2 linked regions of the Drosophila melanogaster genome follow. The protein of the gene in region 2 purifies or fractionates together with the protein of the main gene of each other region. This does not show direct contact. Each region holds a gene or a part of one and is shown on either strand. Other genes may lie near its edges.

The links. Proteins that work in one complex are often made in the same cells at the same time.
Region 1: the proteins of twi (region 2) and akirin purify together in Drosophila melanogaster (affinity purification with western blotting, with the first as the bait; one study listed by BioGRID). This does not show direct contact.

The regions. Positions count from the first base shown.
Region 1 is NT_037436.4:7,367,995-7,374,430, forward strand, and holds akirin (akirin), read left to right. Parts: upstream 1-1,848; 5' UTR 1,849-2,074; exon of another isoform or gene 2,075-2,190; intron 2,191-2,345; exon of another isoform or gene 2,346-2,556; intron 2,557-2,805; exon of another isoform or gene 2,806-3,031; intron 3,032-3,712; 5' UTR 3,713-3,840; coding exon 3,841-4,078; intron 4,079-4,168; coding exon 4,169-4,525; intron 4,526-4,586; coding exon 4,587-4,597; 3' UTR 4,598-5,717; downstream 5,718-6,436. Other genes in the region: Sh3beta, read right to left, coding at 896-940. UniProt on the Drosophila melanogaster protein: Molecular adapter that acts as a bridge between a variety of multiprotein complexes, and which is required for embryonic development and for normal innate immune response.
Region 2 is NT_033778.4:22,983,296-22,988,481, forward strand, and holds the start of twi (twist), read left to right. Parts: upstream 1-2,078; 5' UTR 2,079-2,196; exon of another isoform or gene 2,197-2,234; coding exon of another isoform or gene 2,235-3,033; exon of another isoform or gene 3,034-3,254; intron 3,255-5,186. Other genes in the region: CG32834 (uncharacterized protein), read right to left, coding at 1-980; CG32833 (uncharacterized protein), read right to left, coding at 1,213-2,019. UniProt on the Drosophila melanogaster protein: Involved in the establishment and dorsoventral patterning of germ layers in the embryo.

The DNA of each region.
Region 1 (6,436 bases), on a different chromosome or scaffold from region 2:
GGATTTCGACGGTCAGTGAAAGCATTTAAATTTGAAAAGAAAGTTAAAAATTAAAGTATATAAAATACCTTTAACATGTATCGTTTTGTTCAGTGTAGCTACCTTTGACAACGCTGTTAATTACAGCGATGACAAATCGCTAATGAAGTGTTACCGGCAAGCCCAAACGCACACAAGCGCACACAAAGCCAACTCCCCGCCGATATAAACATATGTACGTAAAAAGAACGCCAGAACCACGCGATATGATAAGGCTAATTAAAATGGTTTGTTGCACCCCAGCATTTATCTTACGATAAGAATATGTGTTTCCCAACGCTTTTTTAAAGTGTACAAAGACAGGACAAAAACAAATAATTGTGAACCGTACAATGACCGTTATGTTTTTGTTCTTATTGGAAGAGGAAGATTGCCAATTGAACAAAGGCACCGAAAGAGTGAGAGGGGGAAGTGAATCACCCCTCACGCATGTACACACACACACACATGCACACGCACCCACGCAACTGCGATCAATGGAAATCCCTCTCTTCCATGAACAATTTACAGTTCACAGTGGAATGAGCTTATATGGGCAATGAAATGTATGTTTGTTCTGCTTCTTGCCACCACTAACACTCGCACACAAGGGCACTCACGAAAATACCCACTTGTTTTTCTTTGACTGTACAGACATACAGACTTACATACCACACACTACATCATCATCATTGTCCAACTCACGTACATACACACAAAGACGAAACGCAGCAGAAGAAATAGAATTTGCAATGCGTTCGTCACCACTTTAGTTTGCTTCTTTTCCTTTTTATCTGTTTGTCGCTAATACCAGGGCCAAACATTCCAATAACATGACACTATTTCGGTTTTAAGCCCGCCACGCCCACAAACTCACCTCCTTATTGCCGGACATGCCGCTGACGTAGACTTTCAAGACCATTTTCGCAGATTACTGTGTCCTCGCACCGCAAATGAAATAATATTTTGCAACTAAAATCTGCTGGCTACTTTCACGGCGATTAAAAATATTTATAGATCTTTTCTTTTCCTGCTTTCTTCCGTCCTGCGCCCCTACGTAATGTTTTTCCACTGGTGACGAAGGCACACGCACTGGGCAAGGTCGTTGGTTTTATTGGCTGTAAAAACGGCAAAGACGCGGATAAAAAAATTGCCTGGCGACGCTTATAAAAGTGCAAAAATATTTGATATCAGGAGTGGAAAATATTTCCTACTTTGTCGTTGAATTGAATGGTGGGACCGCGCATTGACGGCTATAGAAAACCTTCCGGCTTATCAAATATACTAAATATGATGCTTGATTAAAATACTAAAAACTTTGAACTTAAGTGATATTTCAAAATTAAATATTTTTAAGACAACTTAAATTTTATTATGCTCCCATGTAAGGTTTTCATTTTTTAAACGTTCTTCGATTAATAATCGTAATAATAAAATAATAATTTATAAAAAGCATAAGATAGGCTTTTTAAGGTTTTTTAAAAGATAGAAGAAAAGGATTCTTATTATAGAACAAATTATTTTTAATTTGGCGTCGATGAGTTAGCGGCTTCAAGGAACGGTGGAATTTAGAACATGAGGGTGTTTTTTATTTATTAATTTTTTGTTACTTGGAGTTGAATTCCATAAAAATAAAAATGCAATAATGCTAACTTTCTACAAACGACTTAAGGTTATAGGACTCAAGAAAGTACATAGAATATGCAATTGAAAAATGTTCTCCCCAGACTTTTCGGTTATTTGAAGTTTTTGCTATATTTGGTAGAACCATAAAGTATTTTTTGGTATAGATCCGTTAGCAGGGCAACCAATATTAGCGGTCGCCATGCGGTCACTCTGTTCACGTCCCGTCACGCAAGCATCGTCGTCCATTTTTGCTAAGAAGCGAGACGAAAATTTGTAAATTATATCTAGCGAGTCGCCGAGGACGAACAACTATTGACAGTGCATTTCAGTGGCCTTTGGAATACTGCTCAAACAACCAGCAAGCAATAACATTACTTATATCTAACCGAAAACCTAAATTAATCACCCAAACTGAAGTACGGACGTGAATGTAAGTGGGTATGTGCCAGCGGACTAGTGGCACAATAAAAAAGTAAATAAAGCGCGTGTGAAGTGGTGCAGAAAGCAAAAAAGCAGTCGGAAGGAAAAATCAAAATACGCATTAATGTAAGTGCGATTGTTGGAAAAGCTGTTTAACTTTTTGTTCCTCTGAAAAGCTGATAATGATATGCGATGCGACCATTTTTAAAATTTCATGAAATCAACATTCCAACTCACAACGGTGTGCGTGTGCGTTTCTTTGTGTGCGTGCGTGTGCAGGCTAGAGTGGGACAACCAGTGTGATCGCTTTGGCTGCTGCCATTTCGTTTGCTTTTTTTTAAACTAATCTCTGGCATTTGTCACGTAAAAGAGTATAACGTTAAACCCAAAAACGTTTTGTATATGGCTTTAAATATTTAATAATTGTGGGCAGAGACAGCAACACCAGCAGCAGACGCATACACACGTGTTGCGGTTTATCGAGAGGGCAGTGTGCGTGTGTTAGTGCGGAAAACAGCTGGTACAGCTGCCGCTGCAGCGACGAAGAAGAAGAAAAGAAAGAAAGGGGAAGAGTGAGAAGAACACGCATTATTATCCTGCGTAGTTTTCTTTTATCGGTGGTTGTTCTGCTATTGGGTTACAGTTTACACTTTTCTCTGTTTTCTTTATTTTCCCTCTGCATTGCTATGCATTTTGCCTTTGCGTGGTGGTTTTTTTTATTTTCATTGTCGGTCGTCCTTTAATTGCGCTGCGCCACTTCGTTTCGTCGCTTTCTTTGGCTGGTTTCTCCTTCTCTTCGGAGTTTCTGGATTCGTATTCCGATTCGGTATCGCCCTTTTCCTGCGACAACAGCAGCTGGGTGCACGGTATCGGAGCTGTCGGCGATAGCCGAAAGAAGCTAGAAACCCCAAGGAAGCCAACATCCTTTTAATTGTCGTGGAAACTATAATAGTCTCATAAAAATTAGGTTTTTAAAATGGTTTTGTCATTCTATTCTAGAAAAAGCTATGAATATAAGAATATAACAATATGTTTAATTGCTTACTAATTTTATTGAACAATATAATTTAATCGTGACGAAATGGGGGAAAAAAAACATTTTTTTGTTGTCTTGAATTTTTTTTCCTCTCTTGTCATGATTATTTAGGTAAAACGGACGTCATCAAAGTCATTAAACTTACGCGAACTTCGCATTTAAAAGTTTTTTACTGGCATTTCTATTTTTAATAGCTTTCTGGGGAAAATATCGGATAATAGCTTTTCAAATTATGCATTGCTAGCAACTTTGACTAGCGAAAAGTATTTACTAAAAATTTTTGTACCTTCCTATTTTCGGCGCTCTTTTTAAGCAAAGGCCCTTGTTTTGTAGCGTTGAAGCCTCAAATTATTTCCAAAATCACGCCCCATAAGCGATAAGATAAGAGAGCGTACAATTGTTGCCCACGATACATACAAGGCGAGAAAAAGTCCAAATTGCCAGCATTGGCGGCCATAAATCGCTGCACCATTTTCTTTTATCGGCTGCGTGTGCGTGAGTGCACGCCTGTGAATCCTGTTTTTTCCTTGAAACCAGTTTGCGTCCGTCTTTTCTTTGCCAGCAAGGTGTTCACTTCACCTTACTCATTCATTGTTTGTTTGCCCATTGCAGCCGACGCTTGATCTTCCATCTGCAGCATCCATCATTTGGAATCGAGGCAATAATCAGCATCTACCGACAATCAAGCAAGCCATCTATCTATCAGAAGACCACCGGGTAGTAGAACCTCAATCATAGCGATGGCCTGTGCAACCCTGAAACGAGCCCTAGACTGGGAGTCGATGAACCAGCGGCCTCCGAAGCGCCGGCGTTGCAATCCCTTTGGCCAGGCTGGGAGCAATGCAGGTCCAGCGTCGCCATCCCGCGACGGTCCCAGCACCTCGGCTGGTCTGCCCCACACGCCCAGCAACCGATTCGCCAAGGATAGCACCGAACCTAGTCCGTTCAGTGAGTCGTCGCTGGCCAAAATGTCACCAGGTTAGTAAATCAGGTCGATGCTGGAAAAGGGACGTCGGATTCCTTTTATGCATATTACCTTAATACACCTTTCTTCTTTTCGAAACACAGACAAAATGGCCGAGAGCTTGTGCAATGAGATCAAGAGACTGCACAAGCGCAAACAGCTGCCGATCACTTCGTCGGCCTTGGAACGCATGCAGGATTCGGAGTCCAGCGGATCGGAGATGGGTCCAGAGAGTCCGCGCCGCCCGGACAGTCCACAGAACCTGATGCGCCACGGCGAAAAGGCCCTGTTCACGTTCAAGCAGGTGCAGCTCATTTGCGAGAGCATGATCAAGGAGCGCGAGAATCAGCTAAGGGAGCGCTACGAGTCCGTGCTGACCACCAAGCTGGCCGAGCAGTACGATGCCTTTGTCAAGTTCACATATGATCAGATACAGCGTCGCTACGAGGCAGCGCCTAGCTGTGAGTTCAAGTTACCATCGGTCATGGTTATAGTGCTAATTACATTATATTTTTATTTCAGACCTGTCGTAAAGCTGTGTACACAGCTGTAGCCTCAGAAAGAAGAAATTAATAATTGCACTACGATCTTATGTGACGGTAGATCTACCGCGACAACAACAGCCCTCATAAACTATAACAAACAACAAATAAGGAAACTAAAGCAAACGCAAAACAAACCAACAAAAAAAAAAAACCTAAAAAGCAAAAAACCTAAAAACAAACAAAAAAAAAAAAACAAACTACAACATACATCGTGTTTAATATATTTTGAAATACACGCGAAGAAAACGGTTATAGTTTATGCCTAGATTTACATATATATATTGTATCGGTTAGCAGCAAAGGGATGAATTATTTAAAAGCAAGCAAAAACCACAAAAGAGAGAAACCAACAAACCAACTTGTTAAATTTATGTTTTTCACATAACGCAAATTCTAAATAAAATGACAAATATCAAATTATGAACTATATGAACTATAAGCACACCGCCACTGCAGACATATACATATGGGTGCATCCGTAGAGAGAACGATTCAATGAAACCTCAAACGTAGCTTCGTACATAACAGACCGACAGAATTGGCAAATATATAATGTTAGGCACATGATGTAGCATATAAGGTATGATGTAAAACCTATCAAACTACATATATTGTTTTTTTGGAAATTGTAATTTATGAAGCGAAGCAACAAAGATAACTCACAACTCATGAAGAACACTTTTCATAGTTTATTTTTGCATATTAGTTGTAACACTAAGGCGAGAAACGAACGCTTGAATTTGCCTATTTTCTCGAGTATCGTTTGTTAATTGTTTCTTCCTTTGATGCGAATTATTGCAAAGTAATGTAAACACACAAAACAATTGAAATGTTTCGATTTGCTTTACACCATACAAAAATGAATAACGAAAAGAAAAGGCAAACAACAAAAAAGGTATAAAAGTTATTCATTAAGTTAAATTGAACGCTTTCTTATAAAATACGCTTGACAGAAGATGTTTCATGTTCATTGCAATTATTTTTTCACACCTTGAAGAATATATACGAGAATATATGATATATATATATATATATATTTTTCAATTACCGCAATCATACATACTACTTTATATTAGTAATTTAAACTTAAAATTAGTAAAGAAATGCCATTTTTATATTAAAACAAACAAAAATAAAATGATGAATTGTAGATGCCCGCTGGTCTTTTCTTTTTAAAGCTTTTTATTCTGTTTGTGAAGCGAACTCTTAATTTCATCCGTTTATAAACCACAATATTCTTTTTTTTATACCAACCCGTATTATCCGAATAAAACTCAATTGGTTCTGGTTGCTCCAAATCCAGCTAATGCTAAATGATTAACCAGGTTTTTCAATATAATTTGCGAATCTAGCAAAACTGCCATAGGTGGGGAAAAGACTGAGCAAAATGAGAGATACCTTTTGTGCAAAACTTTCCATTTGTGAATAAAATTATGAATAACCTTTACAGTGGCTTCTCCAGACTCTGAGAATATTCATTTTGATTTATTTAATGTGTTTGTGCGTTCAACAGAAACTTTCCAAACTTAACACTAGTTAACTAAAAATACGCTTGATTCACATGCTTACAATTACATAATAATGCATTAAAAAGTCTTCAATAATAAATACATTTAGTTCAAAACTCAATTGAACGGAATGAGGAGGGCTATCTTATCATCATAATCAATTCAAAGCCGACGTGGAGCATCTCCCGGCTAAAAAAAACTTCGATATTCATAAAATTCCACAAGTAAACTAAGGAAAGGCTCTTGGGGGACACAACGACTTTCTAAATGGTGGGTGGATGATCTGGGGGGATCTGACCCGGAAGGCACTACAAATGGT
Region 2 (5,186 bases):
CTAGGTAAGGTACTAGAGACTGTACTAGGTAAGGTACTAGATATGGTACTGGGTACGGTACTGGTGGAAGGTTCAGTACTAGGTACTGCAACAGGTTCTGTGCTAGGTTCAGAACTAGGTACAGTGCTCGGTACAGTAGCAGTTGTAGTGCTAGCCACAGTGGTACTACTATCACTAGAAGTACTTGTCGAAGCGGTTGTATCCTCATCTTCGGTGTTCTCGGCAATCCAACCTGTGAACCAAGGTACATTGGCGTAGACATCTGGTTTGGTGGTGCAGCCGCCTTCGGATAGAATGCCCACGAGTTGTCCATCTATCACCAAGGGAGCTCCCGTATCGTAGGAGCATCCTCCGGCGCCATTATGAGTGCAGAGGGTAAGGTACGAGATGCCATTGTCCCAGAGTCCGAACCAAACACCGCGATCCGCGGCGCACTGCTCCCGATTGTAGACGCTGACCCATGCCATCTGCAGATAGTCCGGCAGACTGCCGAAGCACCTGTCCCACCAGCTGCCCCACCAACTGGTGGATCCCCAGCCGGAGACAGTGCACCACGAACCATCGTCCGGTTCATCCTCTGCTATGCTGATGGGCTGAATAGCTTCGGAGGTCTTGAGCGGATCGCACAACTTCAACAGTGCCAGATTGTTATCGAAACGCCAGCAATTGTACTGCGGGTGATTAATTATTTCACAGACTTCGAGCAGGAATCCAGTTCCATCATAATCGCGGGAACTGGTGCCCACGCGTACTTCAATTGAACCGTAGGACTGGACACACGAAGCTGCTGTGATGATGGTGTCTGATGTGATGATCGCCCCACTGCATATTGCTGTGCCATCTATTATTACTTCCGCCTGGTACGGGGCATCTTCAATATCCACATCATAACCTCCAATGATGCGGCTTTGGGCATCCAGATCACCACGAACCGGCCGTAAAAGAGCAGCCAACAGAAATAAGAACACACTCCAAATCATTATAAACAACTGATTTTTAGAGCTGCATGTGCGACTCTTTTTATAGGAAAAGTTAAGTCGTTTTCAAGGCTAGAGCTCCTTATCTGCAAAGTCATACCTCAAATTGAGTGATGGCTTTACTTCGAAGCTCTATCAAAATAGGAAGTATTGCGTATTACTTGCACTAATCTGCACATAGTCATAGCTCGAAGGCAAAGTATTTTTTAACAATTAATTGGGAGAACGCTTAAGTTTACTTTGTATGATTATGCAGCCAGTCCTTGTACTTTATAAGATTGATATAGACTTCTGGATACTCCGAACAGCCGCCTTTCGTTATAATGCCGACCAGTTTGCCATTGTGGACCACAGGTGATCCCATCGCTAAAGAGCAGGCTTCCTTAGCGAACTTCTCGGTGCAGAACAAGTCATCTGTAAAATTCTTTTTGGACCAATTGTTTCGCGCCCACAGATCTGTGCACTGGCTAGGGCCAAGTAGCTTCACCTCGGCCTTCTGCAGCTTGTAGGCTTCATCATCCAGACACTTCTTCCAATACATTGCCCACCACCTGAAGGAGGGCCACCCGTTGGCCGTGACCTTTGCCCCATTAGACGGAAGCTGGTTGGCCAACTGAATTGGCTGGATCGTTTTGGAGGCCTCGAGCGGTTCGCACAACTTTAATATGGCCACATTGTGAAATACTGTCTGGCCGGTGAACTTTTCGTGAACTGTAATGTTGCAGACTGCTACTTCGATGACTCCATCGCTGCGCGTAGTGCTACCCACTCGTACACGGATCACCTTGTTCAGGAATCCATCCACACATTTCCCGGCTGTCACAATGTGACTCAGTTTGTATATCGCTCCGTCGCACTTGGCCTTTTGTTTGATCGAAATGGAAGCAATCCATGGCGCTGTGGTTATGTTCACGGGATGACCACCAAGAGTCGTCCGGTTGCAGTCGTTTTCGTCGTCCTCTTCCGAATCTTCACCTGCACCCGTGTCACTTTTGGAAAGGACAAAGAGTGCAAGGAAAATTGGTAGAGATCGCAGAAGCATGATGCCAAATAAATGTGCATATAGCAGGCTGTTTAAATTTTATAGTATTGGCACAAAGCATAGCAAATTAATTTGTTTTACTTTACGGTGTGTTAAAATTTTTCTCACTTTAAGCCATTGTGCAATGTTCTTTATTCTGTGCTTTACAAATTCAAATATAGATCTACAGAAGGCAAGGTAATATTATCATTAAACTATTCACAGCAAGTAAGATATTAATCCTTCGTATTCGAGTCCAGCCAGTTCGTGTGCCCCAGGATATTTGCATAGACATCGGGCTTAATGGAGCAGCCCGCTCTGGAGAGGATGCCCACGAGCTTGTTGTCGATGACCAGAGGCGAACCCCTGTCTGTGGAGCAGGCTCCCTTGCCCGGCGACTTGGTGCAGATGGTCAGGTCTGAGATTCCCTTGAGTAAGTAAAATGGTATGACTTTCCAGTCGGCGGCGCACTGTTTTTGGCTAAGGATCCGCACTTGAGTGCCGTGCAATTGGACAGGCAGCTGGAAGCACTTCTCTTCTATTCCGCTGCTAATCCTCTAAGTCTAAGATAAGGTCAAGGAAATTGCCTGATCTGCCACCACAGCCAGTCACATTGGCTCGAGAATTATCATCCGGCACTTTGTCGGCCCTCTCAATTGGCTTTATTTCATCGGTGGTGTTGAGTAGCTCGCAGGTTTTCAAGAGAGCCAAGTTATTGTCAAAGCGCCAGCTGGAGTACTGGCTATGAACTTTGACCTTACAGATTCCAGCAATTGATCCACTAGTGCCGCAGCTGCTGGTTCCCAACCTGACTTGTATGCTCCTGGCGCTGTAGCCATCCACACACTTGGCGGCAGTCAGGATGTAGTTCTTCGAGATAATGGCACCACCGCACTTGAGCTTCGAATTGACTATGATGGAGGCATACCACGGTGCATCCTTAATGTTGACAGTGTTTCCGTTTATGATCCGCTGATCTCCGAGAGCCAACCAAGGCAGAGCCACAATCTGCAGGAGGATTAGTGGGGCTAACATTCTCTTTAACTGACTTTCGTGAAGGGCGTGCTCCTCTTTTTATGGGATTCTTTGTTAATTAAACGGAATAGCTTTGGAATACTCTTCTTATCTACCTTTCGAAGAATCTATTTTGTAATGTAAGAAGAATATGTATTACAATGTATTACAATCCATATTGGCATTTGAAACATTTTGAATGATAAATACGCCCTGTGCGCAATCGATTGAATATAAAACCGAACTATTATACGTTCAATTGCCAATTGGGGTAATCCACATATATGCCCAAATTATAAAGTATAATTTAAGCAGCCGCATCGATTCTTTTCGCTTAGAGCGGCTTTGTACCCGTCCTCCGATTTGAGACAAAACTCACCAGCCATTACACTAAGCCGCTTAAATATTTGAATAATTCCTGCAGAGTAAAAAAAACGTGGGTGACTGAAATATAGCTGGACATTTCCATCAAGCGATATTTGCATGTATTTATGCAATTTTACATGAATGCAGATTTAAATCTGGGCAATGTTTAGCAAAATGTCGAAATAAATACTTTCATGGAGGAAAGTGGCAGGAGAGAGCTGGCGAGGGGCAAGGGGCATGGGGCATGGGGCAAGTAAACAAACATTTTGATGATTCGCCATGTCAAGTGGGTCGGTTTCGCAGCCAGGCAGGCGGATTAAAATGGATTACAACTGAATTATTTGATAATGTCCCAGCAGATGCAACACATCGCATTGCTTTCGCCCCGAATCGCATTTAATTTTTATCAATGTGAAAATCATTTTTGGTTGCTGGGTTTTTTATTACCATTTTATTGGGTTTTTTCGGCGGGCTGAATCGTGTTTTCAATTTGCCCCTGGATCTACGTTTTCTTTTGTCAAATATTGTTTGGGTGTGCTTTTTTTAGCTCTATTTAATTGATTTTATTTACGCAAAATCAGGAAAGCTTGCTCGCTTTATACGAGGCTTTAATTAATTTAGTTAATGGGATATATTCGCGTACTATTCATGATCTTTTGTTAAACTGTTATGCTTGAAAAAAAAGGATTAATTATGTTAAAAGCAAGTGCCTTTCTCACCATTTTATAATATTCAACAGATTTGCTAAGCAAGGCCACTTTTCAAATGACCTCAATTGGTTTTTTTTGCTGGCCTAATGAATATTTCAGTTTTGGCAACATCGCTAACGCCATAGACGTCCATCGATGGCCATTTCCAGCTCGATCCAGCTGCTCCTCCATCTCAATCAGCCTTTGGCTCATACATAACCCAGTAAATCCTTTTCCAGCTCGATGGCATCGTTGCCAATTTTCACACCAGCGACAATTACTCAAACCGTTGGCAACAACAAAAACATGGGTTACCACTGTCCTCGTCCTCGCTCCCTTTTCCCTGACCCGCTTTTCCCGGACTTTTCCCGCCCGCCCCCGCAGTCACAGCTCGCCACTCGGAATCGAGGGAGCCGGCAAAACAATCGTTGACAAAAATATTTGCATGCACTCTGGGTGCACTTGTCCGAATCGCCGTGCTGGGGATGCAGCTGCTCCTCAGCGCTGCTGTGCCGCGTGTGTTGCCATCGGCGGCGGCGCATTAAATATGCAACACCTATGACAGCAAGCCGCTTGACATTTGGATCCGAAGGCACGGGACTGGAGACCCATTCCAGTTTTAAGCTGGAACTAAAGTTTTGCCGACAATTTGCAGCTAAATTTGTCAAAAAACCAGAAACTTGGCCGGCTGAGAAATTATGACTTCCGCAATTGTTGGGTGGAACAAAGGGAATCCAGCGCAGTGCCAAAGTGTGACCGACCCGAAACAGTTCAAAAGGCAACTGTTGCTCTTGAACCTTTGGAAAATCCACCGCTTCAAATGCCGTTACACCCCCCGCCCCCCACACACGGCAAAGTTTTCAAATAGAAAATGTTTAATTTCCCCAAAGACAACGTCGATGCTGCTGCTGCTTTCCCGAAAACGCAGCGTTTTCCCACCCAGGCCAAGGAAACTTTCTTACATATTTTACAATAGATCTTCGTGTGTGTGAGTAAGAGTGTGTATGGGTGTGTGTGTGTGGGTGGGTGCAACAGTGCAGCCGAAAAAGTTTCTCCTTTCCCGGGCGGAAAGTTAGCTAAGACAAACGCCCCGAAAATACCCACATCGCTCAGTTGCCA